Linked DNA regions of Coturnix japonica. The protein of the gene in region 1 purifies or fractionates together with the protein of each later gene. This does not show direct contact. Links are inferred from orthologs where the notes say so. Each region holds a gene or a part of one and is shown on either strand. Other genes may lie near its edges. The genes, in order: TULP3 and TTC21B.

Region 1 (16,417 bases):
AATATTTACAGAGTAGGTTACAGTTATAGTAACTTTCACCTTAATCATTTTGGTGAAGTCAGTTTGCTTTTAAATTTTCTTCCACTTTGGGGACCAAATAAGTGGTCTACAGCAAAGAACAGCTCCACACAAAACATGTTATGACCAGAATTCTGTAGACTATGAAGTTCAGGAGATACAAGATTAACAGTTGTTAGAGAAATCAGCTCTCAGTTTGTAAACCAGGGGAAAGGTTTTTCTTGCCATCTTTAACAGGAATAGGAAATGTATCTCAATGATAACTAAGAGATTTACAGATATCAGGAAGTAGAGCAGCACAGTAAGTATAAAGCAGACAGTATGCTGATAGTAACAAAAAAAAGATCACCATTTCAATTTGACTTTCCCCTTAACCGTGTGCTATTTGATTCAGAAATATACTTTATTATACTTCAGTAGCAGAACAGGTGCAGATCGAGGGTAGGAAAATGTATAACAAACCACCTCAAATGCACTACCTTGATACTGAATTAAGAATTAAAAACATGAAACTAAGAAGCATAAGCAGCTCAAATAAATAATCAAATGGGAGCCATGAATTACACCAGGCGCCCTGCTGTTGGAAAAGGAAAAAAGGCATAAAGGGCATTAGAAAATGAGCTTATATTTATTCCTAGGCTTCTAAGTGTATGAAGAAAACATCAAAGAACAGAATTGAGAATAACAAAGGAAAAGTTGTATGAAAGAAGAGAGATAAGACACAAGAAGCCAGGAAGAAAAAGAGGAAATAACTAGAACCAGAGTAACAAATAACAACCACAAGCGACAACAAAATCACACCAAACAGAAAACAAATAACCTCACTTAGAATCATTGAGTTTTCCAATATATAAATTATTTATTTGCATTGAGATATAAAAATTATAAATACAATTGATGTAAAACAGTATCTAATAAAAGAGCACTGATGCAGTTAATCTGTCCACATAACTTGATCAAGGCTCCGAGACTTTGGCCCAGTGAAGATGATCTGACATCAACAAATGACTTGAAGATCCACTGCTAACTGGCATTACTGTCAAGCAATGCCACCACGAATTTTTTAGAACAGAGCAAAATCATCTTGAATTGGAAATCAGCATTCAACCTTCAAGACCTTCAAGTCACACCAAACTAATGCAGTGCAATTTCTTTCACACTGTCCTAACCAGAAAAAAAAAAAATAATCAGATTACTAAACAGACTTTTTAGTATTTCTGGATGAGTAAAAGGAAGGCAGAACCAGGAGCTAAAGAATTCAGCAGAACATAACTTGAGAACACTGCCTGATCTTGTCCCTGGCCTGATAAGCAGGAAGTACATGAAGGCACAAAGGATATTCATGCTATCAGTTCTCTTTGCTGACTGATATGCTGATGAGATCTCTTTGAGTACAATGGCCCTCCTACAGAATGGGTATATGAGATTGGGCCTCCAACATTTTGCAGAGTTGGTCCTCCAGCCCGAGTTTATAATTTACGATTAAATACAAAGTTTACAAATGATGACTGTTTTTTTTTTTTCTTCTTTTTTTCTTTTTTTTTTTTTTCCAGGGAAATTAAACCCTATGAGGTCATTTCCTGCTTCCATTTTGAAAGAACAGGTTATACCTACCACTGCAAAGACACTGGAGACCAAAAGCAGTGTCTGCTTCTTAGTAGTCTGAAACAGAGCCCACCCGCTGATAGTAGCAACATGCAAAACTGAAGAATGCTGTTTCTTGTCTTAATAGAAGATGCAGTTTTCCAGGCTCATTGTGGATATGCATAGTAGCCATGGAAGTGGCAAGTTATTAGCTGTTGTGCTTTAGTACACAGCAGATGTGAGCACTATGAGGCTTGTGTATCAGCATGTAGCAACTCACTGATAAATCAAAGCCGTATGAATCAAGAAATGTCCCACGGTGTAACCTACAGATTCCAAATTGTGCAATCCAGCATTTAAATGGGAACACGGGAAAGAAACACTGTAGAGCCTCGTGATAGTTTTCTTTTTCTTTTAACTTGCTGATGCCTTTGAAAACAACAGTAATCTCCTCTTGAGGTATCTTACATGCAGATTAAAATCATTTTAATGAAACCTACTACAAAGCGTCATAACTTGAGATAATCTCACATTAAACAAACAAACAAAACAAAAAAAAGAAACCAATTACATCTTGCTCATTCCTAAAAACATAGAAAATTTTTACAAATAAAGTACAAATTAAAAAGTATTTCTGATCTAGATCCCAACACTGCTTTTCAGGAGCAGTACAATACTACTTTCGGCCAGAGTTGTGTTCAATTCAATCTATTCAATCTTATATTTCACGTAGTTAAAAATAACACCAATGGATATAATTTTGCCAAATTAAAAGGGAGTGATGCTTCATTTGTTAAGAAGTATATTAAGGGACATGAAGCAATTAGGATAATGAAAGGAAAATAAGACTATCAGCTTTAACAGAGATTCATTCCACAAAGTAAGAGACGTTTCACTAGAGCCAGTATCTCAGTCCAGCCCTGTGTTCGCTGACTACTAACTAGAGTTGCGCATAGGCTTAATCTGAACCCTTTTCTCTTTCACTGCTGTTAACAGGCTGCAGAATACTGCACAGGGCAAGACAGAACATACACTGCCCTCCTTTTTTCTTGCTTAATCTGACCAGAAACTCAAAGTCATATCAGTAGCATCATCTCCAGGGGCACTGCTGAAGATTCAGGGTACATGAACACTAAACCATTATTTGTCTAATCCTAGCTGCAAAGGGTTTCAGTAGTGAAACAAATTTCTAAGCCTGCTCAAGCAGCAGCTGATGCAAAGGTTCTAAAAGCAAAAATAATTCTGACAACAAAAACATCGCTCATGTTCCTTGTTCTTCCACAAAGCATACAGAGGCAGACTCCTAAGACAGTCCACCGTTAAATACCGAAATGCCCTCAGGACTGCTATTTACTTTCCAATAAGCCTACAAAAAATTGTCTTCCAGTATCTTTCCGCCCCCAATATGCTTTTCATTACTTCACCTTGAATTCTAACAAGATACAGAGATGGGAGTGAGTTCCATGTGTCAAGTTGGCTGTTTCTCATTCACAGGCCAATTTACTATCAAAGCTGGACAGTCCAATAGCAAAGGCCTGAAGAGCACAGAGAGGATAGTTATAGTCCAGAGTGAAAACATCTTCTGCTACACGACCGAACTGCATCACAATGTAGTCAGCTGGGGAGAAAGAAAAAAAAAAAAAAAAATCAGAGACCAACAATTTCAGGGGTAAGCAAAAAAAAGAAACAGAAGTTTAAAAGTGTCGGTCACTCCCAAATATACACGGTTAGTGTATCCACCATCTCTCATCAAACTGACTTTAAAATCTGTTGTCTCTAGTGACTGTGGTATTCCTAGAGATTACCTTCCTTCTAAGAACTAAGGCTCAAGCCACTATTTCATTGCATTGAAGGTATCATGTTAACTCCTTCTTTCCCCTGCAAGATGCTTGCAGTTCCTCTATCTCCTTTTCATGCATCTATTGAGAGCAGCCTCTCTGCACTCACCCCAGAAAAGTCAGGCCCTCTAAAGTTTTCTTGCCAGAAGTCCCAGTAATACTGAGCTAACTCCCTTCACCCAGTCCCCTTCTCTGGGAATAGTGCTCTATTCCTCCCAAATCTCATGATACATGCTGTTTTCCCTGTTTAAACAACACACTCTTCCACTCTCCACCAAACTCTTACGGTCATTGTCGTGGACAATCTGGAAGTTCTTCACTGAGGCCTGAGTGACTCTCCCATGGAAATTCAAAACATAGGACTGAGTATCATCATTCCAGACTGGAGCCTTGTTGTGCAACTCAATGAGGTTCTCTAAATCTTTGGTTTGCCATTTTGACAGAAGACTCTCATTTTCCTATTCCGAAGAAAGAAACATTTTATCAGATTCAGAATGACTCTGCTATTGAGCACTGCCTCTCTCATATGTGCATTCTGTGACTTCAGCGTTGTTCCCTATTAAGTGAAATGACAGCACTTAAACTCAGTCCTACTGAAAGTATCCTAAAAGTAACAAGAAAATTCTTTCCAAGCACTCCTTTCTACCCCATGAAATATCACCATATATTCTGGTTAAAAAACTACACTGGAGGGTTTTAATATTGTACACAGATAAAAAAATAGATTATTCTAAAAAATGCTTTATTTTCCTTAAAGTAAAACTTGATTTGATTAAGGTGCAAAAAGAACCTGGACAAGTTCTAGAAGTGGGCCCAGATGAACTTCATAAAATTCAATACGTCCAAGTGCAAAATGTTGCACCTGCAATTCCTACAGTCAATACAAGCTGGGGGACAAAACTGTGGAGCAAAAAAGACTTGGGTATACTAGTGGATGGCATGCTAGACATGAGCCAGCAATGTACCTTCACAGCTAAGAAAACCAAATGCATCTTGTGCTGCACCCAAAGGAGGATGGTCAGCAGAGCAAAGGAAGTGATCCTGCCGCTTTTCTCTGAGCTGGTGGGACCTCATCAGGAGTACTACATCCAGATGTGGAGTCTTTAGTACAGGAGAGACATAGGCCTGTTGGAGTGTGTTCAGAGGAATAACACCTCCCCTGTGAAGACAGGCTGAAAGCACTTGGGCTATTCAGTCTAGAGAAGGCTCTGGGGAGACCTGATAGCACCCTTTCAGTATCTAGAAGGAAGCCATAAGAAAGAATGGGACTGTTTAGCAGGGTCTGTTATGACAGAATAAGGGGAAAATGTCTCAAACTAAAAGAGATTTAGACTGGATATAAGGAAAACATCTTCCACAGTGAGGGTAGTGAAGCACTGGAACAGGTAGCCCAAAGGAAATAGACATCCCAGCCATGGAGACATTCAAGGTCAGGCTGGGCCAGGCTCTGAGCGACCTGTTTGAGCTGTAGATGTCCCTGTTCATTACTGGAGAGATGGACTCTGGATGATCTTTAAGTGTCCCTTGGAACTCAAACGATTCTATGATTATACGATTCTAACAGCTTTATGTTTCAGCCTTGGCCACAGTCACTATGTTTGCCTGCTAACAAAGCAGTAGGCATAAAAGAGAGAGAAAAATACAATAAGTGCCTTTCATGAAAAGGGGTTGTACATGCAACAGCAACAAGTCAGAGTAGCCATTTGCAATAGCTATACCATAAATCATAGTTAGGTTGCCTGAAAGATGAGTATGAATACAAACAGGATTCAGAAACTTAGAAGTGAGGTAAAAGGCAAGAATACATTAATCACCACTTTTGAGCAACACTGTTACTGCCCCGTAGACTCAGTAACAGCCATGGCCAACACCAACCATTCTCTAGTAAGCATGATTGTCAATAACACCCACACCTTCACCAGAAAGTTTTCACACCTCTTCCTCCAGTCTGAATTATGACCAAACTCCATAACTCACATTTCGTGGCTGGACTGGAATTCTCTTATGATTCATATTCATTCCTGGAATGATTACAGACATTTTTCTGGGACCCTTGAATCCTAACACATTGGTTTCCTGAAATACAAGGAAAGACGCTATCTTCAGGAATGGATATACTCCATCATGCAGAAGGAAAGACAGCAAAGCTGAGCTTGAATCCACATTTATGTTATTTTCAGAGATTTGCTGGCTATAACTGCGCTAGCTGGATCTGCTGACATTTCTGTGAACAGGTTAATACTGGAATTATCAAGACATATTTTACCCCTAAAGTGCCACTTATGGGAAAATAGCCCCAAAAAATTAAAATCACGCTTCAGGCTAATAACCTTTAAATTTGTTCTACTGTGCCCATGATAAAAGACAAAAACTTCAACTTGACTGACTTGGATTTTGTGAAGTATCTCAGATTTTCCTTAAACCTCAGGACTGGAGTATCAATTTTTGGTCAAGTAACAAGCTCATTAGAACATTAATTTGGGTCTCCCTCCCTCTTACATTCATTAAAATAAATAAAAAATAAAACTCATAAGAAACTGCATTTGTGCCCTTTACCTTATCTAGTGGAAATCAGTTCTGAAGTTTAGTGGGGGAAGCTGCAGGCAGCATCACTTTGTGAGCCCTGCCTCCTTAGTAATCAGCCTGCAAACTAGAAGGGGGCAAAAGGGAAGAGGCTCTACTTACATAATAAATAGCTGCAAGTTCTTGTCGAGTATGAGCCTTATCCACTTGACCTTGTGCTTTGACTGGGCTAACTCCATGGTCATAGACTGTAAATTTAGTTCCCATGAGGTTTGACCTAATTTCAGTTATAGAAAGACATAGAAAAAGAGACAGGTATCAGTAGAAATTATTATCATCTTCCAAAAGCATGTGCACGTGACAGAAAAGTCAGGCATCTCCAGTCACCTGAGTCTTTCTCTAGTGATCTCAGTAAGGAGTTTCAGTAAAGTGCCCCTTGTAAAATTGGGTACGTTACCTGTCCTGAAAAGCACTGAGCCAGAACTCCTCCAAATCATCACTATGAATGGTAACCGAGTAAAGACTGACAACCTAGTTGAATTCAGTAAGCTCGAAGTGACAAATTAGTTCTCTCTGAATAGAGAGCAAATTACTATCCATAACTCCAACTAAACAAATATGTAAATTCCATCTGTCCCACTGCAGAAGATGTACATTCTTCTGTAGTTTTTATCTAGTGCTCTCACCTGAGTTTTCCAATGAAACTTTCCCCTTCCCGGGATAAATCAGTTGGGTCAACTGATATGACATAATTGGACGTTTTACTCTTTTTTCGTTTTCTACCTGCAAGAAGAAACATCTGGAAATACAAAACTTTTATCAAGACTGGAGTTTTGAAAGAATGCAGAGGCACTGCTATCCAGGCTGTTACCTCCCAATTTCCCACATCCATTCCCATTTTTGTTCTGAACTGTTATTAGTCTTGCTAGTTTTGACCTCTCCCACAAGTACACAACCTGAAATCCTGCTCTTCCATCTACAGTACTCAGCAGTCTAGATTAAAGGCATTTTTTTTTTCCCAGTTTTCCCCACTTTTCATCTGGAACAGCTCAGTCTCCCTGCTTTTCTTTAACCCTGACATTTTAAAACTTTTAAGTTTCATCTTTCTTTGTATTCTGGCTTCAAAACTTACAAACTCCTTCCTTAGTGCCTTGGCCAGATATAAGTTGCCCTCATCTGCATGCTGTCACTCCTCAGCTTCTGGTTCCTTGCTGATTTATGCAGTGTTCTTCATTACACTAAAATATTACGTCTAAGAATACAACAGCCAAGACACTGTACGCTGCTTCCAATACCTTTCTGTTGTTATCCTTTTCCAGATGCATGTAATAAGTAGGGAAGAGGCCCCGGTCCATTCCCTTCTTATCTCTAGTGATTCGACACTTGATTGTAATACCACGTGGCGCAGGGAGCAATGCAAATTCCTCCAAGTTCTCTACTTCTCCCAGATGTGCAACCGCCTGAGGGGATGGACTACAGGAAGCACCTATTTCCTATAGGAAGAACCATCATATTAGAAAACCAACATCAGACCAGCAGGGTCGTGGGTATTCCCCATGAAAAGGAAGATCTGTTGGAACAGATGCCCCAAGAACATATCTGAGAAATGGAAGTTGAATGAAAAAACATCTGTGTTTCTCTGAAGAAAGTGGATAGAAACTTTTTTACTCTAGCTCTCCCAGGGAAGGAGAGAAAATAAAGCCAGTGCTAAGAGTGCAGCTGTGACATGGAGCTGGGACAGGCCACATCATGCTGCTGGGCAGTGCAGTAAGGAAGGTTCACTTGACCCAGAGTCCTGGGCCCTCAGATAGGAGGGAGGGAGCCCAGTGCCCACTGCTCTGAGTTGGGGGCTTCTCAGTCCTTTCCTTAAGAGAAGAGGAAAACATGGGTCAGCACCTCCCAAACTTCCATCTGTAGGATCTGAGGGAGTGGTACAGAACTGCATCACAGAAGGATCAAGTTAGGTGTTCAGAAAACATTCTTCTCTGAGAGGGTGCTTGGTCATGGAACAGGCTTCCCAGGTAGTGGTCAAGGTGCCAAGCTGCTACAGTTCAGTTCTATCCAATGATACCTTGGACAATCAGACACAGGGTATGAACTTTGGGTAGTTCTGTGGGGAGCCACAGAATGGAATCTGTGATCCCTACGGGTCCCTTACAGCACAAAACGTTCTGTGATTCTGTAAAACCTTGTAGACTGCAGAACCTGGAGTATTCCTTCATCTTGGACACTTGAAATTCCCTCATGGGGAGCTTCCAAGTCATCTCCAGCAGCCATCAACCACACCTCAGCTTTTTATTAGTAAATAAAAGCAAACAGATTTCTTGTACTACTCACTGGCTAGTGTGTATACTGCGCTACACAGCCTACACAGAATACACAAATACATGCAATTGGGTCACATGAATATTATCATGGACTTCCAGGATCAAGGATCCCTGAGGCCTTTTATCCATTCTATTTACTCCTTGTATTCTTACGCTTGTTGTCCCCTGACTCAACTTGATCCTCTTCCCTTGTATCCCTTTCTCTAAGCACCTCATAGTAAGCTTTGTACAATCCCAGAATCCACTCCAACATTCTGTTCCCCCTTGCATCCCTACAACAAAACCTATAATAGAGGTAGCAAACCCTTTTAGTTTGTATGGCATTTCAGAGTTTCTCTGAATCATCCTGGCAGATTTTGAAGCAGAGACGATGGTCTAATCTTTCTTCTTTGAGCATCACAGGGGCACTGATTCAGAGTACTCCCCTGTTCACTGATTAGGTTACTTGAGTTCAGTTTTTCCACCCATCACTGTTCCTTTGATGATTACCAGGTCTTTCTATTTAATTAGATGCTCTTCTGTTAGATAATCTGACACTATTGTCCCTCCTCCGACTTCAAAGATTAACAACTGGAAATACAGTATTTTAACACAGTGCTAAAGGGGAAAGCAGTAAAAATCAATAATATGCCCAGTTCTCATCAGAAACTCATTACAAAACACCTACTGCAAAGGATTTCTCAGTGGTTGCAGAACTAGGCCTCTCAGATTCAGGATGTGGTGACTGAGATGCTGGTCTCTTACTTGTTTCTTCCTCCTCTTCTTCCATGTCCTCCTCATCAAAATTCAAACTGCCTGAAATTCCTGTCAGAACACAGAATTAATTTAATTTAATCTAAAAGAAAGTGTCATGAGTTTATGGCATTGCTAATTTACATATAACCTTTGTGTAGCTATTACTAATACTTATTTCAAATTGCTGATTTTCTTCTCGTGCTATATCACTTTCTAAGCTTTGTAATTCTGATTATATTTATACATATAATACTGATAGCAGTAGAAACATCTTACAGCTGTCAGTTTTTGGCTGATAAAACTTTTATTAATACGTAGTTCAGCAAGCAATGTATTGTATCATGAATGTGCTATCATTGAATTAAATTTTGCTTATTTTTATATGCAAAAAACTAACAACCTCTCCGTAGTTAAATATCAAAAAAGGCAACCCAACTCTATAATCGTAGGTAAGACCTACCTTGTAGGTTGGACTCTGTACAGTTCACATTCTTCATAGAATCACAGAATTGTAGAGTTTGGAAGGGACCTCCAGAGATCACCGAGTCCAACCCCCTTCCAAAGCAGGTTCCCTACACCAGGTCGCACAGGTAGGTGACCAGGCGGGTCTTGAGTATCTCCAGAGAAGGAGACTCCACAACCCCCTGGGCAGCCTGTTCCAGTGCTCTGTCACCCTCACTGTAAAGAAGTTCTTGCGCACATTCGTGCAGAACTTCCTATGCTCTGCTTTCTGGCTGTTTCCCCTTGTCCTGTCTCCACACACTGCTGAAAAGTCTGGCCTTGACACTTTGCTCCCCCACACCTCAGATATTTATAGATCTGGATCAGGTCCCCTCTCAGTCTTCTTTCCTCAAGGCTAAACAGACCCAGTTCACTCAGCCTTTCTTCACAGGGGAAATTCTCCAGGCCCTTCAGCATCTTTGTGGCCCTCCGCTGGACTCTTTCAAAGAGATCCCTGTCTTTTTTGTACTGGTAACTCGCTTTGTTATATCTTAATTTTCTAATTATTTTTAATGCTATAGGAAAAGAAAAAGAAAAAAAAATTATAAACAGAGGAGTCCTGAAAAGCGTGTCTGCCTACTATCAACACTTACCTCTTTTCTGTAAGATTTCTTGCAGATCTGCATTGCCTGATGTTTCTGTTAGAGCATGTTCATTGTTTTTCTCATCTGCATTTCCTGCTGTTATGGAAGATCCAACAGAGAAAGTTTGGAGTTTGGTTCCTAAATCTTGCACTTCTGATTTCAAGGAAGAATCTGGTCCATCAATGCCTGCAAGCCAAAATGAAACATAACATAAACATTTCATTTTTACAGATATATTCCATAATGGTTGCTCTTTTCATCCATTATTGCTTAAGCACCCTGTATGGGAACTGTTGAATCATGGTCTAAACTTCTGATTGATCACCTGAGGTGAGCACTGAGTCAGACACAGGAGCACAGGTGAAGGCAATTCACTTGTGCAATTGGAAGGGGTGGAGCCTGGATCCAACCTTCAAACTTTTCCTTTACAAGGAATGACATTAAACGAGTGTTCTACAGTAAACATCACAAATCAATTTGTTAAGAATATTCAAAGGTATAGGACAAACACATAGTAAATTTGATGCCTTCCACAGTTTCAGAAGAAATGGCATTTCCAGGTTTAAACATGTAGCACAGCATATGCTGCACTTTGCAATTGATAAAGATCTATGTCAAGGTCTGGAACAAAATGTGGGATGCTCTGAGAGTGGAACAACCTATTTTAGTATGTTGATAAATGGCAAAAAAGGTAAGTGCTGGTGTTATGGCAGTAGAGAATGAACCTTCCCACTAACATTCCATTGTCGTGGCACATGATGCCGTGTGACAGCCTGACAAAATGGCATCTATCAAGGAACTGCATGCGAAAAGCAAAGGTGTGGAATTGAATTTCTCCATGTGGAAAAAATAATACCACTTGACATTCAGTCTCCATAAACAGTCAGGAAATGTTGATGAACAGTGGACGTTAGCACAGCGAGGCAACGCGTGGTGAATTTCAGCAGTGGTGACACAGCAACAGTAGATTACCTCCCTGGTGCAAATGTTTATTTTATTCTTTATTTTTATAAGCATAGAATTCAGGCTTTTGCTCATTGTAGGTAAAAATGCAGAGCTAATGGGAACGAGTATGCTGAAAAATAATGTTTTGTAGCTTAGAATTTGCTCTATCAAATAGCACTAATGGTGCTAATGGTGCTTCTTCTATCTGTTGTAACTTCCATGGAAATAAATAGGAGGCATTACTTTCAGGCAACATACATATCAGAAATGTGTTTATGTAGTACACAGTATAGTTTCTGCTTTGATTTTTGTTGTTGTTTTTTCACTGTTTTTCATCTTGAAACTGCACTACTTTTTCTAGTTGGACTTCTGACATGATTTATATGTATTAAAGAACCTTTAGAACTGTGGAAGCTAGTGAAGTAGTTAGATTCCTCTTTTCTTTTCTGCAGTTTTGATAATACTGAAGTTTCCTAACTATATTTTTTATTCTTCTCAAATTTTCTTTTATCAGATTTCCCCCATTTAATTTTAAATACATAAATGTTATCATCCACATCAACACTTCCATCACCATCCTAAGCTAGTGAAAGAACCCTAACAGTGGCAATACACCATTCCACACTAGTATGCACCTCAAAGCCTATTTGCTATCACTTTCTTGATAGGCTGATAGGATTTTAGCTCTCACAAACTACTTCCTGATGTTTCTGCTACAATGCTGTTACTCTTTTTTCCCACCCTATGACATACAAGTCTTTAAAGCTCTCACTAATGCATTTCTTTTAATTCTCAATAAAATGTCTGCCGTTTTACTGTAATGCCCTCATACCACTGAAGGGAGGCTTTGGCTCCCTGGTATTGTGTCATGTTTGTGCATTTTCTGGACCCCTATAATTTGCTTGTCATGCTTCTGTTGCCTTCCAGAAGGCCACAGGAAAAACAATATTTCTGTCATATTATACTGTAGTTCTATAGCTGTACATAAGGTTTGTGATCAGTCTTGTTTATGGCTTGACAACTGTCACAGCAACACAGGTGACCATCTAAGACATAAAATGCATGCAGTGGCATGCTGGGAGAACACTGTTAAAATCAGGTACTTACCATGTAACACAACATCACTGTGGAACGTGGCAGGAGTTTCTACTAAAGGAGTCTGTTCCTCACACCCTTTGGGCTTCAACCTGTGCAGCTTTGCCTCGGGATTTGGCTGTACCATCAAGGGATCAAGACGTTTCTTCTTCTGCTTTTTCTCTAGAAGGGCTCTCTGTGAAATAAAAGGAAAAGCATGAATTAAGAAAAGGTAACCACAACACTTGCCAGAGAGCCTGCACCTCAGCCACTGATGATGATTTCCCATCAACCTAAATAAAGTGCTCCTGTTATCTCTCACAGAAATCCTAGACACAGATATTACAGTGTCTGGAGTGAGACACTGCTTTTGGTTCTCCTCTGATGGAAGGATCTATCCTGATATCATCAACAAATAATTTTAATTCCTTTTCTCCAGACAAAACTGCAGTAAACCTTAACATAAACAGCCAAATTCAGTAGTCACTTAGAATCAAGTGTGAAACTGATCTATCTTACAAAATACATGTATTTAATTCAGAAATGAAAGAAATTCAAGTGTTAGTGTTAAAAACAAAACATTTACCCATCATACATACACGTGATGTTCATTACTCCTATTATATGTAAGTAGAGAGATCTAAACTTATAGCAAATACAGGCACTGCATCATTTTAAAGACAGCCATGCTTAAATCTTAAAATATAGATGATGCATGATGTAAGATGTGCAGACCACCTGTCACAGATGCAGATTATTCAGCTATTATTACTTACTGCAGAATTATTTACAAGGATTGTCCTGAACAGCAAAAAAATACAAAGAACTGTATAGAGATTATTAGATCAGTCTAGAGGAAGGTAAGGTAAATTAAAATTCTTAGAAAATACTCGGTAATATTTTTTCTCTAGTAGTCAGATCATCCAGAAGAAGTCTTTAATATATATGCATTAGGATAAATTAATGCCAAGTTAAAAAGTTCTGCTATATTGTCTAAATCTTTAATAGTTGACATAAAAGGAGAATGGAAAACACAAATATATTTAAAAAAAAAAAAAAAAAAAAAGATTTGAGAAAAAAATGTTGCCGAGGCTTCTGTACCCAGCAAACGGACAGGTGAAGAATAAACACATCCTAAAAACAGTAAGGAAGTACATAGCTACAGTTAGAACTGGAAACTGAAACTGGGATCAGTATAGAACATAATAATTTTTGAAGTTACTTTACTGTTTATTCTACAAGATTAGATTTTTTAAAGCATATTAAAACATACTTCACTGCTAGTGAATATGACAAACTTTTTCACAAGAACTTAAAGGTAACCAAAGTGATGAAACTTGACAGTCATTAGGTTTCTCTCCAAAGCTTTGTTTATTAAGAAGAAAATTTACAAGCTCATGGGTGTGATGGTTGGTCGCAACTCTTTCTCTTTACACAAGGTGGCACAGCAGCCTTACCTTCAGCACAGCATGTCCTTAGACTTGTTCCACTAAGGGCAAGTTTAAAAAAACACGCTTCCATCTACTAACCACATTTTTCTCCAGCCCCGTGTCACAGTAAAATTTCACATAGAATTACAAAAAAAAATAATAAAAAAAAATCACATGACACAAGAACGTTTAACTCATTAAAAACTCATTAAATAACAGGTTTTGTAATTTTTGCTGTTGGTATTCCACATCATTCTTCCTATCACTGTAATGAACAAGAAGATGGTGCACAACAAGGCTTCAATCACTCTTCTTGAAGGTGCAATGCACTATTTATTACTTGATGTAGTCTACCTTAGTAGACCACAAGGCATGGATTTCTGAGGCTCCTTTTCTTTCAGCTCCTCTTTAGTTCACAGTAAGATGGCGGGGACAAATGCAAGTGATTATGGCATTAATAAAACTTCAGTGTCAAGACTAATATTGTATTAAATGCATTCAGAAACAAGCCTTCAGTTTTTACCTTCTCCATCCACAGAGAGATAGCAGCAGTACAGGTTGAGCTACAGGTACCTCAAAAGATACTGTTCTACTGCCGAGGAACTAAGCACTGCCTGAGAAGCCATCCACACTCTTCTCAAGGAAGTACAATAGGCAAAAGCTTTGGGGCAGACAGATGTGACCCACAGATTATAAACAATACTTAACTAAAATTATATGGTTTGAAATCCATCATAACGATGGATGAGAGACACAAGCCCTTGATACATCAAAGGCTTACTCTAGATTCTCCATGTGCTCAAAGATGCTGAACACAATCCTGTTGTATTTCACAAAGACATTCTGCAATTTTTACCTCAGTTCCTCTAAATGTTTAGGAGAAATTTCTTAAGCGTGGTATCTGCTACAAACAGTAATGAAGCCATTATGTCTGGCTGTGATCTGCTATTGACCTTTATTGTTTCACAAAGCATGGTGCTACTTGTGTAAAAGATAGTTATTTAACTCTGAAGTGCGTTAAATAAGTGTCCATATAAGCACGGAGGTCAAGACAATAATGAATCTGTCTAGACTCAGCGCAATATAAGCTCAGACTAGAAATAACAAACAAGTTTTGGTAAAGAGGGTTATTAACTGATGCATCAGTTCCCTGAAAAGTGTTATGTCTTAACTTAAAAGATCCTCAGATGAGAGACAGAATTTCTAAAAACTATACTTTAATTTCAACACAGCTTCATGTTCTACCTTCATGAATTTAATCTATAACGTAATTCAGTGAACTCCATTCCACGTGAAATGGACAGCTAGATAATTATAATTATCCCATAATTTCTAACTTTTAAATAAGCACTTGAAATTTTAGAGGATGTACACTTTATTGATTTCACAATAAATACAATAAATACAATAAATACAAGCTATCTAACAAGAGTCAGGCAGAACTTAAACGAAAAACATTAGCAATCGGTTCTGCTTGTATTCTTCAGACCATTTTTAATCACTTCCACACTTCTCAAGCCTCTGTGACACTGTGAATCCACCTGCAGCCTTGAATATCACAACAGAAACTGAACAGTGTGGCCTATATTCGTGATTGCTGTATACCTTATGTAGTTCTGAGCAACAAATTATGAAGTAAATGAAAAGAGGACAGGTAATCAAGAGGAAAAATGGGAATGGAGAAGAAGGGAAAGAAAGGGAAAACAAGCACTTTAACTTTCCTTTCTAAAATAAGATGGCTAATGTTTGTTTTCCTTCATTTATTTTTGCCAGTTAATGCACAACCACTGACCTGATTCTCTAGTTTCAGCTGTCGTAGTTTCATGCCTTCATCCTCAAAGATGCTGGAAAAGGCAAGAGACAAAAAATTATTACCAGAAATTAGTTTGCATTATATAAAAACACGACATCCACAGACTGCAACATAGTTGTCAAGGCTCCAACTGTAAAACACTATTTCTAGCCCATGGGAAGACCAAGTAATAAGGCATTATGAAAGAAACATACTTCATTTTCTGTCACAAACAGGACCGGTGATTCAGTCACTGAACTAAAATTCTCTGAAAACATTTTGTAAGCAAAAAGCTTTCATTACTCAAAGGCTTTTGCTACAAATTATGATGTATTATTATTATTAGCCAATGCTGTGGCCACTATTGGGCCCCCAGGAAAATATGCAAGTCCAGCAAAGGGTCACAGAGATTACTGAGCGACTGGAGCATCTCTCATATGAGTTCAGAGAGCTGAGAGTGGTAAGATCTTCATGGAACCATCTCTGCTGCAGGCTGAACAAGGTATATAAACACCCCATGACAAGGCATAAAGATGGAACCACTAGTGCCTACTGTCAGAAAGAGAGACAGCGGGCACAGTTTAAAACATAAAAAAAACACAAGAAAATGCTTTTTTATTGTGGGTCAGTCAACATTGGAACAAACTGCATATCAAGGCTGTGGAATAACCTTTTGTAGAGATACTCAACAACTGAGCAGACATCCCCCTATGCAACCTGTTCCAGCTGACCCTATGGAGCAGCAGGGTTGGACGAGATGATGTCCAGAGGCTCCTTCAAACCTTTGCTGTCTCTGTGATTGTGCCTGTTTGGGTTCTGGAGACCACAAGATAAACAGAAATTAAACCAGTTAAATGGCACAAAATCACTAACTCAGGTAGACAGCAAAACTTCTATGAAGTTTATCGCTCTTCATGCCGAACTGCACTTGTTTTTATAGTATGTCTAACTAAAAATGAAGGAAATAAATGAAAAAATATATATGAATTAACATTCTAGAGCTCAGTGTGGAGTTTCAGTTTCAGTCTATATCCAGCTTTTTTTGTTTTGTTTTTTAGAAGTTTGA
Region 2 (16,417 bases), on another chromosome or scaffold:
CGTTTAATGGGATAAAGATTTGTTAAGCTTCATCATACAGCTTTGAAGTGGAAAGCTTCTTTAATCCTTATCAGAACCCTTTTTAGAAGGCATTCAAAGCAGCTATCAACTGCTTGGAATTTTCTTTTATATGGTATTTTGTATTTGTTTGAACCCCAGCACGCATTACTGTTTGAATCCTTATTGAATTACTGCAGGTTAGTCTTACATGAGGTTATGGTGTTTTGTTGTTTTTTTTTCAACTGTTGCAGTAAAATTGAATGTGCAGACTCTAAAGTCTGAAGTAACTTTATCTTTTTCTAACTGAATTTGGAGGAATAAAAATGAATTCAAACTTTAAGATTATTTTTACCTTTTAGTGTGGCCGGAACCAACTCATCCTTCAACATACACAAACGTTAGTTCAAAGAGCATTTAATTTGGATTCTGACAATGCAGAATTTGCTACAGAGCTTGGCTACCAAATGATTTTACAAGGGAAAGTGAAAGAAGCTTTAAAATGGTATAAGACTGCCATGGAACTTGATGGAACAAGTGTTTCTGCCTTAACTGGTAAGGTCTTAAACTTGCTTTTTATTTTTTTTTATTGCTTTTAAGATGGGTGATGCTTTGCTTATCAAATTTTCCTACTACTGCTACTATAAGTAACAAGAACTATTACTGAATAGCACGTGGTTCTGGTTTTGTGAAATTATTTTGTTAACTAACCTTACTAGGGCTGTTTTTCCTTTTCTTCCAATTTTTGGCTCCGTTGTTCTGTGACGTTACTATTTTGTGCAATATTATGTTCTTGGCTTTCAGCAGAATAGTGCATACAGCATTTAAAATGCAGACATGAGGTAACTTATTTTTTTATTTCTTTTACCAGTGTAATGCATTTGGTGCACTGATTTATTTTAATCACGGTGCAAATCTATATAGCAGATTTGCAGAGGCACATAATTGCAAAATACATGGTACTGAAGTGGTGTTGCTCCTTAGAGAGTATTAGATCTTGCCATAAGGCAGGGATTAGCATCACTGAGAGTAGTTATTCATACAGGAGGAGAATGAAAATATTTTAGTTTCCTGTCTTTTTCCCCATGTACTGCCTGATTCATGGGGAAAAAAGCCCACCAAAACATTGGCTATCCACTGTTAGCCTCTTGTTGAAACGTCTCTGTGTGGCTGTGTGTGTGCGTTAGTGAAACAAGCACAAATGAAGGGAGGGAGCAAATCAGTGATTATTGCTTATTTGACTATGGTAGAAGGTGGTTGCTTTATCAAATGTGTTGGTCTGAGTTTCATTTGCTGTCAATACTGATATGGTTATTTTGTTATCCTTGAAAACCATCAATTACCGTACTTGTCTGTAGTAACTCAGGTTTACTGTCACACATCAGTGCCTCTGTTTAAACTAGAACCAGATTTTTTTGTTTAATGTGTTCTTCTGCCTGGCTGGGTGTGCACAGACTTGGCTAAAGCAAAGTGGTCTTTCTTTACCTCATCTCCTCCAGATATTTGTTGTCTGCCATGGACAACCCTGCTGTTCTTCATGTGACTCATGTATGCAGATGAAGCATTGTGTTTCCTCCAGACCTCTCCTTGCCTGGGCTGCATCCAAAACACACTTTTTAAAAAATTTTTATTTATTTTAACATACACCACCACTGAAGTCATGTTTTAATTGCAGTTTTCTCTGTTGTCTGAATACCTATTTTTTTTTATTTTACACTGTTGGGAACGTATATTATCATTTCAGTATGTTAATAAAGTGCCTGCATTTGCCAAAGCTAGAGAGTTCTCATGCTCTACAGAAATACAAAATTCAAGGGCAGGTGGTGGAACAAACTGTTTTCTGTGTCTGCAGTGAAGACTGAAGTGCATGCTTTTCAGTTAATTTAGACATGTACGAAATATAATCAGGCAAGACTTCTGATAATTACAGCAGTTTAAGCATTGGAAGATCTTTGGGAGGGAAATATCTATTTTAGATAAAGTGAAGATCTCAAGGAAGTGAATAATAAACATGGCATATGTGCTTCAGTCTTTGCATTTTTATCTGTAGCACTGCTTTCTATTCTGAAAACTCAGTATGAAAAAATCTGCTTTGTGTGTAGTCTGGGGTGTTCTTTTGCTACTTTAACTTGCTTGTTGGATTTGGAAGTGAAGATTTGTTGTACTTTGACTTGTGTTAGTCTAGAACCAAATGAACATTTACTGTGCTCAGCTTCGTAGTATTAGGATTTGGATATTTTCACAAGTGACTTTTTGGCATTGCTTATATTATGTGTTTTCTATCTCAAGCATTTCTAAGTATATGAAATCTGCATTACCATAGATCATGATCTATCTTTTTCTTCTTTTACCACAGTTTTATTAAGAGGCTGAAGAGAGAAGAATTCTAGGGAACAATTCACATCTTTGACTAAGAAGATAAATCTGAAATAAAATCTTTTGATATGTTACAGGAATTATTCGTTGTCAGATAATACAAGAGCAGTTAGAAGATGCAGAACAGCAGTTGGAGTTTCTTAATGAAATCCAAGAGTCCATTGGAAAATCAGCGGTAGGAGGCTTCTTTGTGTATTAAAATACTTTGTTTACTATCTGCATAATGGTCTAATATCTACTTCCACATTTCAGTCACTCAAGTGGAACATTCTGAATTTCAGTTTTCACTCCCCATCAACTTATTCATAACTTAGGAACAGTGTGTGTCTCTCAGGATAAGTCTAAATGTTAGGAAGGGAAGGGTGTTAATTTTTGCAGGATTATTTGATTGGCAGATCATAGAGCTGCTCCCACAAATTAAAAGAATGTGCTGACAAAGGAATGCAGTGATCATTGGTGCTGTTTGCAGTAAACATACTTCAGGTGTTGCAGTATCTCTACACAAAAAAAAAGAAATGACTAACACTAATGATTAAGTAATTTTGTATAAATAACAGGTGAATGTATCTGGAATATTTAAAACGTGCTATTTCTTCTTGCTGTAGGAATTATCTTTCTTGCGTGCAGTCCTTGCAATGAAAAAGCATAAGAGACAAGAAGTAGTGTCTGCCTTGCTGAATGATGTTCTGGATATCCACTTCTCAACTATGCACCGTTTTCCTCTTGGTGTGGAGTATTTTGAAAAACTGAATCCTGATTTCTTGCTAGAAATTATTAAGGAATATCTTCATTTTTGCCCAGTACAGGTAAGCAGCTGTATATTGCATCTCGCTGAAAACAAACTCTTGGAACTTTTTCTTGAAATCAGGCAATCATGAAGTAAAAGCTTAGAAAACTTTTCCCCTTGAAATTTGAATTTCTATGAGGTAAAATTGCTTTTTAAGATATTACACAACCATTTAATCAAAATAACTGTGTAAATACTTCTCTTGCAAAGTCAGCAGGCACTGTAATATCTGAGGAAACTTAGGATGTTAATTTCATGGCCTGCATCTGTATTTCTACAGATTATTTTTTATTTTTTAGAACCTCTTGTGATCAAGTAACTAAGAACACAGTGACTGTAACTATCTTAATGAGGAACTTGGTTATTCACACTGTAATTATTCTGGTACTGAAATATTGTCAGCTGGTCTTGTTTGTTCTAGTCTTGGTGCAAAGATACATAGGACTTACACATTCAGTGGGGACCTGACATCCCTAGAGTTGAAGTAAAGCTTTTAAAGTACCTATAAAGAGTGTCTTCTTTATAGAGATTATTCCTCTGAACTAGTGAGGAGTGATCTTTATTCTGTTTCTAGCAGATTCCTAGTCAAATTGTAGAACCTTTCCATAAATATTTCTTCATGTAAAACTATGAAATCCAGTCAGCAAAATAACATTAGAACACTTACTGCTAATTCATCCCACTGTCTTTGAGATGATATGGCTTGAAAGTCTAGAACAATGTGACAGCTCTATGTGATTTTGTACATAGATGGAGATTAAAGTGTCATTCTGTGAAGCAGTGTCTGAAGGTTTCCTTAGGGTTCATAATGGCAATGGTAGTTTTGTTATTTGGAATGAAAACTGAATTGTTGTCTCCATAGAGGAATGTGAAAAATGATACCTTTCCTGAACTTTCATTATACCTTTATTACAAAAAAGAGATTGTAGCTTCCTGAGGGCGCGCATCCTAAGAGGATATTAGGGGTGAACAGAGGCATCTTTATGTTGTCTTTTGCTTGTTATACAATGTTAACTTCTTCATGGGATGCAAACTGCTCATAATAAAGAGCAACTAAAATGTGATACAGTAGAGCGAGCAGTTGATGTGAAAGACTGGATAGAAGTGGTTATTTTCAGGCCGCTGCTTTCAGTTTGGTGATAACTATGAGGGTAAGTTCTGTGGAATGGAAAAAGCAAAGAGGAGACAGGACCAGGAACTTTTCCTTCCAGCTTTGGCTCTCTTGAAGTTCTTATTACCATTTTGTTGGATCAGTTGGCATGGTAATTATGAACGTGCCGCCAAATGTTCATGGACAGCTCTTTAATTACATCAGGTCTGGGTCTGTTTTTCCTGGAATTCATAGTACACTTTTGTGTCCCTCCCTGCTGATACCAAGAAGTTGCATTTTAGATGTAAAATGTACTCTTATATTTCTTTACAGCAACAACCTTTATCTCTTCAGCTTCACTGTTGTCGTGAGAGTTTAAAGTGAAAATCAGACTTGAAATGGAATTCAAGTATTTTGCTTGTTTGTTTTGTTGGATTTAATTCTGTTGATTTGTTGTTCTTTGTTTTTTGTTAATTTTGTTTTGGTTTATTCCTAGCTTGCAAGTCCTGGGCAGTCTCCTTCACCACTTCTCAAGCAGTATGCTTCTGTTCTTGAAACTGTGGTAAAAACTGTGCCAGGTCTTCAACAAGCTGTTTTTTTAAATGCAAAGGTGAAATATTTATCAGGTAATACTTGTATGAAGGGTTAGTTGTCTACCTCTCTAGTTTCTCTGCTTTTGCTCTTCAATTGTAAAGTATTTCTTCTCCACTGTGTTACGCTAAATAGCTAAGTGAAGAATACCTGCACTACTTCTGTCATTTATGCGAGCATGTTTTAGTTCTGTGGGCACATTAATGTGATATTACATCTATTGCTTTCCAAAAGAGATCAGTTATTAAATGATTTGGAGACGGGACAATAGGAAGAAGTCTTAACTTTGATTTCTGTTCAGAGCTGCAATAAATAAATTAAAAATATGGTCATCCTTCATGCATGACTTTGTTCATTGAATGCTAATAGTTATTAAAAAATAAATCATCAAGTTAGTAAATAATGAATGAATGTTTTGTTTAACTCATGTTTCTTATCACCTACTTTTTCACTTTGTCTTTTTTGACTTCCTAGGGGATATTGAAGCAGCCCATACTAATCTTCGTTACTGTCTGGAAAGGGGTCCTTCTTATGCAGATGCACACTTACTTATGGCTCAGGTCTATTTGGCTCAGAACAATACTAAACTGTGTTCTCAATCCCTGGAACTCTGCCTGAGCTACAGTTTTGAGGTGAGTTGGTCAAAACTATCAAACCACTTTGTTCAGTCAATCTAAGTTTTTTTGTATGTTTTTTAATATAGTGGTCTTTAAAATGAGATTTTTGACTCTTCCACTACAAGCTCTATAACTAAATGCTAGTGTGAATGTGGTATCTGAATATTTATCAAATAAATAACTAATTTTTCTTAACGAAATCCTTATTGCAAATACTGAAATTGTCTTAAAATACAAAAGAAGGAATAGCTTTCCCTCCAATCCTTACATAAGTACTAAAAGCAACTAAAACAAACTGGTACAAACAGAATTGTTGATTGCAGATGAACTTTGCGATTGACTTTTAAAGGTCAACATAGGAGAACTTGAAGAGTGATCCAGTGTCCTTGTATTCTTACACAGATACACAGTTACAGATGAAGATAACAAAGGTGCATAAGGAGTTCAGAAATGAAAATTCATGTTGTTTTAGCACTATAAATTTTACGAGTTTGAAGATTTGCTGACTTGCTCTATTTGTTTACTGTTTATTTTCTGATTAACACTGATGGGGGTACATGGTACAGCATTCCTTAGGCCTGAGTTGTGCTAAGTCTCTTGGCAGCGCATGGCTGAGTAGTGGGACAAGCTAGCACTTCCTTGCAAGTGTTCTCTCCTTTTGGTTCCTTATTCCAAATGATGCAAAAAAGCATAAGGCTAACAAAGTAATCAGGAAATACCAAGGTGCGTGCAACTTTATACGTAACTGCATTTCCCTTATTTAGATCTCCTTTTCCCATTAGGTCTGTTTTGAGAAGGTGTGGAAATGGCAGACAAGAATTAAGCTACAAAATTATTCTATACTATTTTTAATTGTAGCCTAATGAAGCAAATGTATTTTAATGCGAGAGATGCTGAAAATCAATCCATTCTAGTTTAAAATAATTCTGTCTCAAAGTTGATATAATGAAATAGGGAAGTTTTTTATTATGAAACAAACTAATTACTATTTTCTGCAGATACCCTGAAAACTAATATTTACATTATTGAAACTTGAATTGGATAAATTTAGATGTTAATGGAAACTGAGGTCAATGCTGGGGAAAAAGAGAGTCTGTCAGGGAGATGGAATACTGTGCATGAGGGGAGATCTGGAAATTCCTTCTTTTTCTTTATATGTGTGTGTAATTAATTATATACATATACTTACATAAATACATATATCTTTTTCCTTTAGGTGAGAGAACATCCAGTTTATCACTTAATTAAAGCTCAAACCCAGAAGAAGATGGGTGAATTATCAGAAGCTATTAAGACCTTACAGATGGCAAGAAATTTGCCTGGAATGAGAAAACATACAGCTTCCTCAAAGACAAAAGGAAAAAGAATTGAAATTGATACAAGTGATCGTGTGGCTGTCTTTCTAGAATTAGTAGACGCTCATTGTTTGAATGGAGAACCGGTAAGATCACAAACATACCCAGAAACAATTTCTTCCATCCATTAACTGAGTTGTCTAATCCTCATTAGCTTAGAATGTAAAACCATCTATTTCTCTGCCAACAAGATATGCCTCCTGGCATTTTGAGGCTGTGATATTTGACTTGACATCTGATGTGTGAAACCTTGCAAGAAAAAAATATGTATTTGCATGTGCTACACTGACTGAAAATTGTTACACAAGACTTGAATTTTGCAGAGCATATACTCTTATATACTGTTGATGTTCACTGTCAGGCATGTAGGTTAATATTTTGTTGAAACAATCCTACTAGAAATCTTTTTTGACTGTGTCCTTACTTTTATGTGTTAGTATCCTTACTCTCAACTGAATCTTAATATGCCTTAGGATACTGCATCTGCCTAAGGATATAATGTACACACAGCACTGTAGTTGGAAGGCCGGAGGTCATCCCTTTCTAAATGGGACTGGTTAGAGAATGATGTTGTCCGGTTCATTTTTTTTATCATTTTCTTGCGTATATGCAACATAAGTGAAGAGAAAAATAATGTTTTAAATGTTTCAGCAAAAGAAATGAATACATTGGCTTGGTTTTGCTGCTTTTTTTGTTTTGCTTTATTTTTGTATTATGATCTCAGACATACATTTGCGTATGATGACTTCATTTTTGTCTGTTCAACATCAAAACCTGTGTTAATTCTGTTGGTTTTATTTGCAGCATGAGGCTGCTGTAGTACTACAAGATGCCATTGATGAATTTTCTGGAACTCCTGAGGAACTGAGGGTCATGATTGCAAATGCAGATCTGGCAATTGCTCAAGGAGATGTTGAACAAGCCTTGACTGTGCTCCGAAATATTACACCTGAACAGCCTTACTTTGTAGAAGCTAAGCTGAAGATGGCAGACATCTATCTTCAGTGCAGGAGAGATAAGCAGTTGTATGCTGCTTGCTACAGGTAAAAGTGTGCATTGTGTATGTGTTCTATTTTCCAAGATGAGAAATGGCAGCATCTTGAGCTTCTTTGTTCTCTTTTTGCTAAAACATGTCAGAAAATATAGCGATACAATGAGCTCAAGTGTTCTAACATTTAAAACAGTAATTGGAATTCTTACTTTGGAAAGATTTCAGATAATGTATTTTAAGAAATAAAGATTAATATCACTAGAGGATAATGTTATCACACCCTACTTGTTTAGATACCGATATTGATGTGTTAATAATGAACACGGTTCTGTCCTTTGCTTCCAGAGACCTAGCAGAAAAACTGCCAAGTGCTCATACGTTTCTTCTTCTTGGTGATGCATATTTGAATATTCAAGAGGTAGGTTTTTGCTAGAAATGAGTAAGTGACTGAATCATTGCTTTTCTTTGGCAAGTTGAGAGAAGGTAGCATAAGGACTCTTAGCGGTAGGTAGTTGAGAAACAAAGTTCTTATGAATGTTAAAAACTGAAATAACTAACTATGAATGTAGCTGTTCTAAATTCAGATTAAAAGCTGTTGAAAGTACCTTCTCATAATTCTGGGAGAGAAACTGAAGGAGACCATTTCCTCTTGAAGAACGTCAGACAAAAATTTGAAAAGAAAGAAATCAGTCTATGTTAAGAGTACTTTTTAAACTTGAAACAATTGAAATTATGTTCCAATACTGAAAGTTTTATTTAAAAATCATAAACTATTGGACTTCAATATATATGCTAGAAAGTCTTTGATTACTTGATGGACTGGAAATGTTGCTCAGTATTTGTAGAAGATGTGTTGTATTGCGTGAATGTAGAAATTTGAAAAACACACCCTTAAATTCATATTACTGGAAGACTTGATCAGGTTAGAATATGAAAATTAGATAAATAGTTTGGGGAGCTGTAGGTGATTTACAGTGGTCTTCCCTTTAATGAAGAAGTGCAAAGCAAAATATAATTTCTCTGTGTGCTTTTACCTACTCTTGGAATACTACCAGCTTTTTATTTTCCACACATTTGTTGTCTTAATCCTTGACTTCTGTGTTTTATCTTTCACCGTTGAAGCCTGATGAAGCCATAGAAGTCTACGAGCAGGCTTTGAAGAAAAATCCAAAAAATCCAGCTTTAGCAACTAAAATTGGAAAAGCCTTAATCAAAACACATAACTATTCAAAGGTATTCTATAATTACTTGGTTTGTTTCATAACTGAGTAGAAGTATTTAATTTTATAGCTGTAAAGTAAATGTACTATGTAACATGCGATTGGCCAAAGTCACAGTTGCATATTGGTGGATATAAACCTGATGAATTGTAGTTCTGTTGACTTAAAGTTGATACGTGTTTGAACCTGCACTGAAAGTCATCATTCAGTGCTTGCCCTTTAATACAGTTGTGATACCTCTCACATCCGTAGCACTGCACAACAGAATGATAATGAAGGCTTTAGCTTCTCCATATTAGAGAAAAAGAAGAAAATATTTGGGGAAAAATTGAGTTCTTTCATATTTTTAAATTTCACAGGATGTTTTGCCATCATGTTTTTCAGATAGATTTTAGAGAAAATCTTTCTCCTATTGTACAGTAAAACAGAAATTTATAATTCAAATCTGACTGTAATTACACAGCTTTAGTAGCTAATGAAAAAGTAATTTAATTGACAGCAAGTCAGCTGAAGATGGTAGGTGCTAACATGGTTAACTTCCATAGTCACCAAAATGCGGCACTGGTTATTCTGTTTCTTTAATTTGGCTCTGAATCTTGGGAAGTCCAGAACTGCAATTAAGTGACATCCTATTAATACAGTAATTACTAGAAAATAAGTTGGTTGCAGAAGGAGTGAAGAAGAGAAAGGTCTAAGCAGGATGCCATTAAAAACTGAAGTAGTATAGCTTTCTGTAATTTTTCTTTAATAACCAGATTTCTGTGTTTCTTTTAGGCAATCAGTTACTATGAGGCTGCCTTGAAAAGTGGTCAGCAGAATTTCCTTTGCTATGACTTGGCTGAACTTTTAATGAAACTAAAGCAGTATGAAAAGGCAGTAGTAGTACTTCAGCAAGCTCTAGATCACGAGTATGGTATGACTGCCATTAATTTACAGCATAATGTGTAGTTACTACTGTTACACTTATTTGTGTTTTCTCTCTGGCTGTAGGCAATAGTGAAGATCAATATCAGCTTTTTTTTTAACTATGTAACACAGGGAACTACAAAGTGATAGATGAAAAATACTCAGAAATAAACTTGAGTTTTACAAAAATACTTGCCAGGATTTTTACACATGAAACATCACATCAAGTAAATGCAACTTCAGACCTTTATATAGGCAAGTTTTTTGCTCTTTTTTGCTAGCAGAAATTCTGATATGGTCCATATAGGTGTGACTAATTCCTGCTCCTAAGAGAATAGTTCTTTAAGTGGAAGATACTGCCAGGTATCCTTCACTGCAAAGTAACCAAACCAGTTGCAGATCACTTTCTGTGTTTTAGGAATGTGTAGTCACAAAGTTAACTCCTTTTGTTTTAGGATGTGCATGGAAGTGTCGATCCTCTATTTAACTTTATTCTCTTAAAAAATAATAATAAAACAACATCAGTTTATCATTTTGTTACTGACTTAAACATTTAAGGATCCAGCTAACTTGATAATCTTACTCAAGAGAGCTTAATCTTCTAGTGCAGAAAGATTAAATTAACTTTAAGTTGCCCCATGTACGTAAAAATATTTACTTCTGTCTTACAGTGAGACAACAACTGTGGGTTTTTTTTAATATCTTTGATATACATACTCCACAAGAAAAAAAACCAATAGTATGTCATCAGCTAATTAATTCTTTTTCCATTAGGCAAAGTATTGAGTAGATCAGTATCTCTGTTTAGAAATGCTAGAATATGCTTCCTAAGATGTCAAAGAGAAATGAAATGTAGGGAGTGTTATGGAGGGAGCAGTCTTATGTAAGGACTAGAACAAGTTGCCAGCTGACTTAAAACAGTGTTTCACAATTAAAACGCTTTGAAGACAATTCAATATATTTATATGAAAACATAAACACTTTTTTTTTTTATAGTATGTAACTGTGCTCAAGACACCAATTTCACAAGAGATTAAAATGAATACAAACAGGAGAACTTGTACTGTGTAAATGCTACCTTACACATGCGTATTTTTAACCATTATTAGAATTAGCATGCTGCTTTTTCAACAGATACTAAAGCATTTAGTTAAAATAACAACTTGTATTCATGTCCATGTTACTCATTCTAGCAAAAGAAAGCTACTTTGAAATCTGACTGGAAATTTCACAAAGCAATCTTGTGCTTTTTTTGGTTGGGTGACACTAAATCAGTTTGGATGTTTTTCATTGCCTTTAAACAGGTTTTTTGTAACAAATAGAAAGAATGGCTGTTTTTGGTTTCCATCTTAAGTTACTCATATATTTCTGAAAATGCAAATGGAAAGGCTGGTAATTTTTATTCTTTTCACAACTCATCTTTGCCTTAAATCTCACTCTGTATATTATGTTTACTCCTTCCATTGCCTGCTAACTCTGCACATAAAATCAAATCACATTCCTGAATAAAATCAAGCTGTGAACTTCTCATTAAGCTGTTTCCTGGAATACATGGAGAATTTTGACTTCCCAGGATCAATTCTTAAAAGACTCATGTTTGTTTATCTATTTCTTATAGTTAATGAATTGTCTTCTCTGATGGAAGATGGACGGTACCACGTTCTATTAGCGAAGATTTACAGCAAAATGGAGAAGATTGATGAAGCTATCACTTCATTACAGCAGGTAAAGGGAAGACAAAATGCAACCTTGTGGAAGCTTGCAACATCTTCATTTTTATTCCTTTTATTTCAGCTTGAGCCAATGGAGGGAGTCCTTTATTTGGGAATTAAATAAAATTCAACTTTAAATCAAAGAAAATTGAGCAAGTTCAATCAGAATTGGGCATGGCTATTTCCATAGCTGTTCCTTTTGTTCTCCTGGGGCATCTGCCTTTAACAGAGTTCTCTAGTTCCATGGTTCTATCTTTTCTTAATCACTCCCTAAATGAAGAAGTAAAATGTGGTAGTTGTTTGCATACTGTCTGAATTTTCTATACTTAATAAAGGAGTTAAGTACTTAGACTTTGAGTTTTAGCTTTTGAAGTTTTGTTTGTATGCTTAATTTTAGCCTATTTAAAGTCTTCAATGTACAAACCTTACAGTATTAGATGGACATAAGAGAAGCATGTTGGAATCCCATCTTGAAGCGTTAAATGCTGGGCTGTTTGAAACTTGTAAAAATTGTAGCTATGTTGTTGTAAAATGAATGATACAATATTGAGTCCTTCGGAAAACAGTTGACTGATCCTTCCTTATCCTTCTCTCCATGCTAGGCTCGAGAATTACAGGCCAGAGTACTTAAACGGGCTCAGACAGAACAGCCAGATGCAGTTCCTGCACAGAAGCAGTTAGCAGCTGAAATTTGTGCTGAGATTGCAAAGCATTGTACAGTTCAGCGAAACTATGAAAAAGCAATTAAATTTTACAAAGAGGCACTTGTTCACTGTGAAACTGATAAAAAGGTCAGTTCTCCCTCTGACAGTTTTGCATTTGTTTTCCTCTTCCCTTTTGATACTTAGCAATGCGTTTTTCCAATTATCCACAGCGTTGTACTGTTTTAGCAATTATTTCTGTTTTGTGATGAAAACCACAAAGGCTCTGTGTATGTATTTGCTTTTTTTTCCTGCCTTGAACTTTCTCCTTTCTGTCACTCAAAATAAAATAGCTGTATATATACTGCAAATTTCAGTGTATTTACCTGAAATCCGCATTTGAGTGCTGGTCTATGTTCACTTAGTAGTCTGTTACTTGCCAGTATGATAGGACTGCTGTCATGCAGCAGTTGAGGATGTGTAACGAATGGTATGGTAAGAACGGCAACTGCTCCAGCCTTGCTTGTTGCCTGTCACCTGGAAAGAAATCCCAGTGACTTCAGTCAGTTCAGACAATTTCTGTCTCTGCTGCCTGTATTCTAAAAGTTCTGTCCCTGCTTGGTAGGATTCTGGTTTTATTTGAAAAATGTTGCTATTGCTGAGCAGTGGTTATTGTACTGCTTCTCTTTTCCCTTCACTGTCTCTTTCAGATTTGCTTTAATGTTCCTTTACCGACATGGAATACAATGACACCGTAGCAAATCTAAAACCAAATTTCTGATTTTTAGAAACTTGTTTTCTGCTGCGTTAGATGTCAAGTTTAACCGATGTTCTTCTCTAACATGCCCCAAACAGGAAGTTTCCTAACTAGCATACTGATTCACAATCTTCCACTGTTCTACATACAAAAACTTTCTTCGAATCACTATTTGAAGAATAATTAATATTCTCATGTATGTGCAACTCTGTATCTGTTCCATTGCTTGGTTGCTTGCCTTTCTGTTTCAGAACTACAGTGACTGAGCCCTGAGGATGCATGCTTATGTAAATGCTGGTTTCTTAATATTTATTCTGTGGTGGTTTCTCATAAATGAATTCATACAGTTATAATATGTTAGGTAGGGAAATACAAGCAAGAAAACAGTTTCTCTTAGAATTTGTCTATACAAATGCAGTTAATCAGTGGATGTTAATGAGATATTTGCTTGTTGCGACTTTGTAGCTATTTGCATGTATGTTGTTTTTCTCCCCAAGATAATTATTCTTGCTAAAATTATTTATACTTTGGAGCAATGCTGTCTTCAAGTCTGCAATAACCAATTAAAGAAGAAAAGTTTTACCTTTTTTGTAGCTGGGGGAATTGAAATCAATTAAAATTTTTGATTGAGACTCTACAGAAAACAACAGTAAGATCTGTCGGTAAAGTAGAACTATACAGCAGAATATGAAATCTCTGGTAGACACGTACAGAACTGAACTTCCTTAGCTGTATGCAATTCAAAGATTAAATATTTTACTACACAGGCAATGTTGGAACTAGCACGTTTGTACCTTGCACAAGATGATAGTGATGCCTGTCAGCATCAGTGTTCCTTGTTACTGAGGAGTGAGCAAGATAACGAAGCAGCAACGATGGTAACGTACTGTTATACTAGTTCTGTGTGAGAAGTTTTTTGAAGTTTTTGTGTCAGCAGTGTGATAAATTTGTAAAATACAACTTTTAGAAAACATCACAATTCAGGAATGTGAGCAAATCTGTTGCAACAAAATATTGCCATTTATGCTGGATACTGATTCAGTACGATCTTAAAAATGATTTTAAGATGGGAAAAAATTATTCTCTTGCATCAAGTAACATCTGGAATTTATCCTAGTACAGTGCAAGACTGGGAGTGATAGCATTCCAATTAGTTTTGTTAAATTTACTCTTTAATAACTGCCTCTTGGGGGAAAGAAACTGAAAAAAGAACTGAATTTACTTTCTCTTCTGAAGCGGGCGATGTGTTTCTTTTTCCTGAACTTTAAAGTAGTTTGATTTTCTAGATGCTTAATATGCATTTCTGTGAAATAAAAATAGAAGTATTCAAGTGAAAACAAAGCATCTTTGATAGCTACATTGTAATGTTTTATTCTCTCTTGCCTTCCATCTTAAGTGAAAAACTGAGAAGTGAATCTGCTTGTTATTATTCTGTGTGTCTAGCTGAGGTGTTTATTCTCCAGAGATTAGTGGGGAAAAAGGCTCTGTTTACTTTTTGTCAAATTCCTGCAACACTTTAACCCTAGGGTTTTTCTGCCCCTGGTTTTAAAGAACTAGAGTTAATTTTGAAACACAATATTTAAGGCTTTGTTTTGGTTTTTGGTCAATACTGTAGATGATGGCTGACCTCATGTTCAGGAAGCAAGACTATGAACAAGCAATCTTTCATTTCCAGCAGCTCCTCGAACGCAAGCCAGGTGATTGTTCACTAGTGGTATTTTAAACTCTTTGGTACTGATGTCTAAGGAGAGAGAGGTACAAATAACTAAAAAGTGCTTTGTTATGTGATAGTTATAATGCAAATAAAACGAAGACCATCACTGTCTATAAAAACATAAAGCTATTGTAGGGAAAGATTTGCAAATAACTTCACTCAGCTATAGTAATTTGTACTGCTTCAATGCAATGTGCATTGCTTAACTTAAGCCAAATGTAGTGTTATGTACTTGTACCTGTAAAGTGCTTTCTCTAGTATTTAAGCTATCAAGTGCACAAACACAAGCCTGGAAATTTAGGATAAGGCTATGAAAGTGAGGTACAATTGTACTTACCTTTGTACAGTTTATTTAGGGGTATTGCAGAGGTATCACTGTTTTTTATCTGACACTTTTATATAATATGACTTACATTACACTCTTGTCATTTTTGTGTGTTAAAAACAGTGCAGGGCCTTCATCTTTAAATCTGTTTGCTGTGCAAATAACTGAAATGACGATGTCCTGTTTATTTAATCTATTCAGATAACTATGCCACTCTCTCACGATTAATTGATCTGTTAAGAAGAGCTGGAAAACTAGAAGATGTCCCAAGATTTCTTTTAATGGCTGAAAAACATTCTTCCAGAGCAAAGCTTGAACCAGGCTTTCACTACTGCAAAGGACTATATCTCTGGTACTTGTAATTAAAATAAGGTTCATATGACATAGTGCATAGTTACATTAATTTTCTTATCTGTTGTCATTCAAAGGTGCTACGTATGGTGTGTTAAGTGCTGTAGCAGTACATTGCTTTAGATAATGGGATTTTAAGAAAGGTTTCTTTGCCTCTTCTGTAGTACTTTGCAATGAACTTTTCAAAGAAAAGATGTTTTATCTTATGTACGTCTTTCATATGTTCTGTTTAGTAACAAAGGATATTCTTTCTGGTTCAAAGATGTAATATAATTACTTTGAAATTCTGGAATTTCACAGATTATTTTTAATCTGCAAAAACGCATTCCTTGTACTAGCACATGTGATTCTCAAAGCTTGTATTATTGGTGTGTGCAAGTATGTCAACTAGTTTTGAAAAGCTTGGGTTTTTAGGCACAACTTGGGGCAGTCAATTATACTTGTCCAGTTTTCAGTAGTTTAATTATCTGTGTAGGTATACAGGTGAACCAAATGACGCACTCCGCCATTTTAATAAAGCTCGAAAGGACAATGACTGGGGACAGAATGCAGTCTACAACATGATAGAAATTTGTTTGAACCCAGATAATGAAACTATAGGTGGTGAAGTCTTCGAAAATCTGGATGCTGACATAGGGTAAGTGAATGAAGTAAATGTTGCTTGGATTATTTTATTAACTCCCCCTTTCCCCAACCTCTTAATGATGTTTATTGATCAAGTAAATTGCTAGAATTCTGAACTGCTAAATAAATCCCTGTTAAGCAGAAAGTGTAGAGGATTTTATCTAGAATCCTAGGCACTTGAAGCTTTGGTTAGAAGATAGGTTGTAGGCAGATTGGAACTACCTTTATTACAGGAGAGAATATAGAATGCCTGTATAACAGATGCATGCTTTTATCACGTTATTATGGATCCTGTGTGCGCTTATAAATTATTTGACATATAAAAATGTGATTTTATATATAAAGGTAAACATTTAAACTATC

The links.
Region 2: the proteins of TULP3 (region 1) and TTC21B purify together in Homo sapiens (affinity purification with mass spectrometry; 5 studies listed by BioGRID and IntAct, counting the BioPlex papers as one, with this or other methods). This does not show direct contact. The link is inferred for Coturnix japonica from reciprocal best matches to the Homo sapiens genes TULP3 and TTC21B.

The regions. Positions count from the first base shown.
Region 1 is NC_029516.1:68,374,128-68,390,544, forward strand, and holds the end of TULP3 (tubby-related protein 3), read right to left. Parts: intron 15,404-16,417; coding exon 15,352-15,403; intron 12,326-15,351; coding exon 12,163-12,325; intron 10,297-12,162; coding exon 10,120-10,296; intron 9,095-10,119; coding exon 8,958-9,094; intron 7,457-8,957; coding exon 7,259-7,456; intron 6,763-7,258; coding exon 6,650-6,762; intron 6,241-6,649; coding exon 6,126-6,240; intron 5,517-6,125; coding exon 5,418-5,516; intron 3,899-5,417; coding exon 3,727-3,898; intron 3,221-3,726; coding exon 3,087-3,220; 3' UTR 853-3,086; downstream 1-852. UniProt on the Homo sapiens protein: Negative regulator of the Shh signaling transduction pathway: recruited to primary cilia via association with the IFT complex A (IFT-A) and is required for recruitment of G protein-coupled receptor GPR161 to cilia, a promoter of PKA-dependent basal repression machinery in Shh signaling.
Region 2 is NC_029522.1:17,558,025-17,574,441, forward strand, and holds part of TTC21B (tetratricopeptide repeat protein 21B), read left to right. Parts: intron 1-359; coding exon 360-552; intron 553-2,450; coding exon 2,451-2,548; intron 2,549-2,978; coding exon 2,979-3,179; intron 3,180-4,746; coding exon 4,747-4,876; intron 4,877-5,315; coding exon 5,316-5,473; intron 5,474-6,674; coding exon 6,675-6,899; intron 6,900-7,617; coding exon 7,618-7,856; intron 7,857-8,149; coding exon 8,150-8,222; intron 8,223-8,926; coding exon 8,927-9,037; intron 9,038-9,798; coding exon 9,799-9,937; intron 9,938-11,548; coding exon 11,549-11,655; intron 11,656-12,244; coding exon 12,245-12,433; intron 12,434-13,807; coding exon 13,808-13,918; intron 13,919-14,655; coding exon 14,656-14,737; intron 14,738-15,280; coding exon 15,281-15,431; intron 15,432-15,905; coding exon 15,906-16,067; intron 16,068-16,417. UniProt on the Homo sapiens protein: Component of the IFT complex A (IFT-A), a complex required for retrograde ciliary transport and entry into cilia of G protein-coupled receptors (GPCRs). Essential for retrograde trafficking of IFT-1, IFT-B and GPCRs.